Oryzias latipes: one gene and its partner. The protein of the gene in region 1 purifies or fractionates together with the protein of each later gene. This does not show direct contact. Links are inferred from orthologs where the notes say so. Each region holds a gene or a part of one and is shown on either strand. Other genes may lie near its edges.

Region 1 (2,955 bases):
CTGTAATTCATGCTTGGGGAAATTCTGTAACATAGTTTCTATTAATAAATGTATTTAAAGGACAGACACTTACACCACCGCCCTGCCTGCACACTACTGATGCTGGGGATTTATTATGAAGGAGAGGAAGACGAATGACTAGATGTGCAGTGTATATATATATATATATATGTCAGCAAATGTCAATTCCTCTCATGTCTATTCGGAGTAGATGATGGGCAGGTTTGTTTTATTCGATTCCCCAACGTCAAGGTGGCCCCTGTATTTGGGGTAAACCTACATTGCTGTCTTGATTTTTTGGGGGAGAATTAGGTTTGCTATTGTGGAAAATGGAAGGGTGGGTGGGCGGGCTGGGGGTTTTTACTTCCTGTGTCCAACCTCTTTAAAGTTTTGAGTGACCACATCCTGCTTTTGTCTGTCCACAAAAATGAATGGAAAAAAAAAAACGTACATATGTATAAATTTTTAAGGAGCTGTGCTAACATTTAAATGCGTTCTTGCGTGTATATGATTTTAAATTGTTGACATTTTGATTTAAAAATATTCTAGCCAGAAAAATAAATTATAACCAAAAGTCTGTGTCTGTGATGATATATATATTTACAGATGGGATGAAATCACCAGATTTTGCAGTATAATTCAAGTAAAACTGTATTTTATTGCCACAAAAATTGCACCGAGGTTAGAGACATACAAACAAAAAAATAAAACACAAATAAAGGCCAAGTTGTCTATGAATTGGTGATTGAGGCTTTGACAAATCAGAGTAGTGGTATGTTTGGTGGGATAGGGGCAACTAAAGTACCATGCTGAAGTCAGGTAGCGATGAGTTTTGTCCTCAGGCATCGCAGTCAGACAGGGCATACAGGAAGACATGATTACAAGACAAAATACTGAAAGTTCACAAAATAAGGAACATGCGTAGCACTGAAATCTTGTAATTGTCACCCCCTCCCCTTACCCCTGCGAGACATTTTGTGAGAGGGGCAACATTTCAGTCCAGTGTTCCCCCCCGCCCCCCCAGAACATGCACACTAACACGTTTGCATTTGTTTTTCTAAGATTGAGGGACCTCTGCAACAGCATTTGGACAGTGTGACAAGACGAAGGCCTGACAGAATCATGGAGTCCATTTGTTAGATCACATAAAATCAAATAGCAATCTGCTGCAAGGCCAAGTTCCTTTTGATGGCTTTGTGATTGACAAATCAAAAACTTGTGCATACATATATACTGTGTATATATATATTTATATATACATATATATTTTTTTAAAAAGGTCCCATCTAAGGACAGTAAAAAAAATTATAGATCCACTGAGTTGCAGATCATGCACCCTGCTCCCCCTCCAGTACAGACTGCAGACAAAACATTTTTGGTATGGTAAACAGTAAAAACATCCAGGAATCTGCAAATGCAAGTGTTAAGACTAAGACTGCCATATTAATAGAGTTTTAAGGCACTGTTCGATACCAGAGTGTGCAGAGAAACATGAAGCTAGAGGCTCATTCTGTCTCGCATTCTTACTCGATAAGTTTTCAAAAAAAGAACAATTAAAAAAATAAAGTTAAACAAAATAAAAACATCCATCCAAACCAGACACTGCCTCTGCACACAATGACACACACACACACGATGCAAAGCTACAGAAAATTGATGTGCTGGACAGAGGCAAACTATTTGATCCATTCCAACAATTTCTTTTGAGTCAAGAGATAAAAGGGAAAAGTCATTGTCGCAGCATGAATGAAAACAGTGTCAGAAACACACACGCGCACACACACACACAAAATATAGGACATCTCATTTCCAAAAGAAATATGGGTGAAGAATTGGCCCCACACTATGGCCAGCTATGTGCATTCATAGTGGAGGCATATGATGACCTCCACAGTTTCATCAACTGTAACCACAGGATGCGTTAGCGCCGACTGAGGAGGGAGTTTTACGTCAATGCTGCTCCCCATCGTCTTTCATTCTCCAGTAACACTGGCTCCTAAAGGATAGTGTAACAAATAACATATATCAGTTTCCTGTCTTGGAAAGTTTACAGTTTCATGGCGCTACCTCTGAACAATGTCACTGATCTCCTTGACGGAGGACAGCAGCTTGCTGAAGTCCTGCTGCAGGTTGGAGGCCCCTGTGGCAGTTGGGCAGATCTGAAGCTCACACAAGCTGTTTTCGAGTTTGTTGATGGCCTCTCTGAATGCAAACTTGTTCCTCATTTGCTGGATGGAGTCAACGTAGCTCATGCAGTATTTGGAAAGGTTCTTGCCGGCCTCCAGCACCGCGTTGTGGCTGCCCGTTTGCTCAGAGTTGCGGGAGATGGCGGTACGCAGCAGCTCGGCTCCCTCCAGCACCATCTCACGTGTCACAGCTGAGTTTGGGGTGCGCTCCGACGCCTGGCGGGGCGCAGTCTTGCGAAGCGAGCGCCGGGTATTCACTAGAGGGGTAAATGCGGATGAGCTTAGCTCCCCTGGGGATGTGGGAGAGCTGATCATTGACGCAGAGCTCTTTAAAGGCAGAGGTTTAGAGATGGAGCTTAGCGGCAGTTTTTTGGAGCCTAGATCACTAGCAGAGGCGGTGTGGTGAAGATCGGAGGGGAAAGGAGGGCCCTTTCCTCTAACGTCTGAAGGAGATGATGAGGGGGATGATGATGGGGAAGGGAGCTCTTGAGTTGGGCTTCGGGACACCTTCCCCATTTTGACACTAGAAGGCGGGGGTGGAGCTGGCTTAGGTCTCTGCAACTTTCCTCTCTCTTTGACCGATGAGTCTGTAGAGTGCTTGTTCCTGCGAGCCCTGCACTCATCTCCAGCTGCCCCTAAAGCGGGATACGCGCTGGACTTTAGAAACTCAGGATGAAGGACACTTACTTTAGAGTTCTCCTGGCCTTGGACACCTGGTCTCTTGACCACCTTAGGTGTCAACGCCTGGGGGCTGGAGCCAGGACTGGTA
Region 2 (2,972 bases), on another chromosome or scaffold:
TATATATATATATATATATATATATATATATATAAAAAAAAGAACACAAAGGATGGTCTTTAGCATAGCAGTCCCAGTTTTGGGCTCAGGTTTTCCTCCAGCAGTTCAAAAGACCTTAAAAGAGAAGTAGCTCGAGGAGGAGGGACTTTCCTGATAAGATAGGAGGGACACTTTTGTCTGCATATTCATCTGCTAGACTTGTCTTAAGGTCAGAGTTGCCGAAGTCCTCTTGCGACACTTGGAGGAAGAGGTTTAGTCGGGTGCAGAAAAAGTTTCAGAATCCAGTTTGTTTTTGTCTTAAATGCTCCAGCAACAGTCTGAGGGCAGAAGGGTTTGCCTCTTTTCAAAGTGTCTCACTCTGCATCCATCCGTGATCCTCTGCAGTTCAACTACATTAGTGGGTATTCATGATGGAGAGTCAACATTGTTCTTTAAAATTAGATTGCATTTGTTTCCTGTTTCACAGTAAGCAGAGAAATTGCAGCAGTGCTTCTCCGTGCTGGAGGACGGCACCTGATATTGTTGAGAGATTGCAGGTCACAGTTTGGCAGAAAAATGTTACAGGAGTGATGATGTTCTTTCTTTATTTTTGGTTGTCTGTGCTGCTTGTGTGTTCATTTAGACTTATTCTGCGTTCATTCAATAGATGTTGCTGAAAACGTGTGTTTGTTAGGATCTTCTGTTGGAGTGAGTATTTCATTGGTGTGTGGTTTCAGGCTCTGCGTTCCACTGGCTGCTGCAGATAGACCTCACTCCCAGCCGACACGATGGGAAGTCTGTTGTCCAAGTGGTAACTGATCAGGTGGCTGACACTTCCAAACCGGTGATCTTTTGTGCGCACCTATAGGAAAAAGAAAAAACAATACACTTAATGTGTTTGCATCCATTTTTATGGAAAGTATTGCCTCTCCCCCCTGTTTGACTTTTTCTGTTGCACTCCCACCATGACTCACCACTCCTTCTGGATCCACCAGCAGCAGGTGTTTGGGTTGACCCCCCTGCTGCCCGGTAAGAACATATTGTCCAGGCGTGGTACCGGATTCCCGCACCAGGAAATCACCATCTCTGGTCAGAAGTCTCTCTGCCTCCCTGCGAGTTAAACTGCCATGGAACCAGATTTCATTCTGCAGCTGCTGCACCATAGGGGGCGCCGATGTCCCAGAGACCCCGAGGGCATCATCAAGCGGTTCTTCAATTATACAAATGAAAATGTCAGGAAAATGATCCTAAAAAGGGTTTTCTGTGTTAAGTTATTAATTATAATTAATCAAAAATGATTAATAAGGCACTGTACAAAAGCCCAGGCTCACCAAAGAGATTCACAGGTAAAAACAAACAACAATAGAATAAAAATAAAAAGCAATTGAACAATGATGTAGTCAATTAAAACTGTTAAACAAACAAATGAATAAAAAAACATCCTTAGTTTGGCTCAAGTAATTTTTTTTTTCTTTTCTTATAAGCAATAAACTTACTATAAAACTGAGTTTTATTTTATCCTGTCAACCATGTTGACAGGATAAAATAAAACTATTACAATGTTTGTCTAAAAAGTCTTCTTTCCTTATTTTCTTTCCTCAGGAGAAAGCTGGCCACTTCAGTGTAAAGTACAAACCACTTTGCTCATCTCTAAAGATATCTATTAACCCCAATTCTTTCCATATTGTAAAATAGAATATCATAATTGCCAGTCATTTTCCTTCGCATTGACTCCCATTTAGAAGAAATCAAGCCACTGATGAACTTTCCCGTCGAGTTTCCCAGAAAACCACTCATCTGGGTTTAAATGTTTTACATAAAGGCCTCCTTTTGTTCTAGATTTATCAGGTTAATAAATAACATATTAACATGGGAGACACTCACTCATGTCGAAGGCGTCTCTGTTAGCATTTCCATTTGCAGCAAGCGGAGGACGAGGTTTATCCACATTGACATATGAAGGGTCATCAAACAGCTCTCGAGTTCCTTCTTTAGCACCCACTAAAAAATAAAAAATAAAAAAGAGAGAGACAGAAGCTGACACGAGTGACCTTATCTTAAGTTTTCATTTCAAAGAAGCAGCAACATGGTGGAGCTGAGAAAGAAAGAAAAAAATGGAGCAGAAAAACACATCTTTAAGCTGTGGCACTATCAAAACTGTTAGATGGGACTGAAATAAATGGATTAAACAGAGGGGGATGTTAAAGTATAATAGAAATGACTGCAGTCAGACAAAGGAAACACGAGCTCACCTGGTAACGGGGGCAGCGGCTGCTTGTGAATGTCATTCTGGCCCTGCTGTCCATAGAGCTACAAACAAACGTATTCCACCAAATGATATGAGCTCTTGCATCATGTAATCATCTTCAAATAAAGTACACATTTGCACAATAAAAACACCAAAGAACATGGTAGCATTTGAGAGATTTCACACATTCCTACTAAAACTGCATTAAAGTCCAGCTGAAGCTGAAGCCAAAGTCAAATAAATATAATGACTTCATAATTTGTCTTTGGGGAGACAAACCTTTATCTGAATAAGAAGTTCCAGCATGCTGTCAGCACCAGTTGTGCAACCAATTCAGGAAATGTTTCACAGATAACATCAGTTTTGCTCATAAGTCAGACACTTTTTCAACTGCAGTCTGATTCTGAAGGATGAACTTCAAAATAGAATACTAGTGAATGTGAAGATGTTAAAAGGTCTAAATCTTACTGATTTGAGCACACATCGTGGATACAACAGTTTTTCACCGAGATACAAGTAGGGCAGTGCTGAATCATTGCAGATTGTGGGTGTTCATACTTCAGACCATAAAAAAACACCTATATGTGTAAATGACATATTTGGATTTTTCTTCCTGGTTTGTCGTCTCTGTGCTGCAGGCCTCTCTGGATTCGAATGTGCTGAGTTGTGTGCATAAGCGGATGTCTTCTCACCAGTGTGGCTCCGGAGCGGGTCCTCATGTCAATAATTCCACCAGGAGGAGGCT

The links.
Region 2: the proteins of abl1 (region 1) and shc1 purify together in Homo sapiens (affinity purification with western blotting; 5 studies listed by BioGRID, with this or other methods). This does not show direct contact. The link is inferred for Oryzias latipes from reciprocal best matches to the Homo sapiens genes ABL1 and SHC1.

The regions. Positions count from the first base shown.
Region 1 is NC_019870.2:12,798,197-12,801,151, forward strand, and holds the end of abl1 (tyrosine-protein kinase ABL1), read right to left. Parts: coding exon 2,064-2,955; 3' UTR 636-2,063; downstream 1-635. UniProt on the Homo sapiens protein: Non-receptor tyrosine-protein kinase that plays a role in many key processes linked to cell growth and survival such as cytoskeleton remodeling in response to extracellular stimuli, cell motility and adhesion, receptor endocytosis, autophagy, DNA damage response and apoptosis.
Region 2 is NC_019874.2:18,324,158-18,327,129, forward strand, and holds the end of shc1 (SHC-transforming protein 1), read right to left. Parts: coding exon 2,920-2,972; intron 2,290-2,919; coding exon 2,232-2,289; intron 1,981-2,231; coding exon 1,864-1,980; intron 1,190-1,863; coding exon 954-1,189; intron 842-953; coding exon 713-841; 3' UTR 569-712; downstream 1-568. UniProt on the Homo sapiens protein: Signaling adapter that couples activated growth factor receptors to signaling pathways. Participates in a signaling cascade initiated by activated KIT and KITLG/SCF.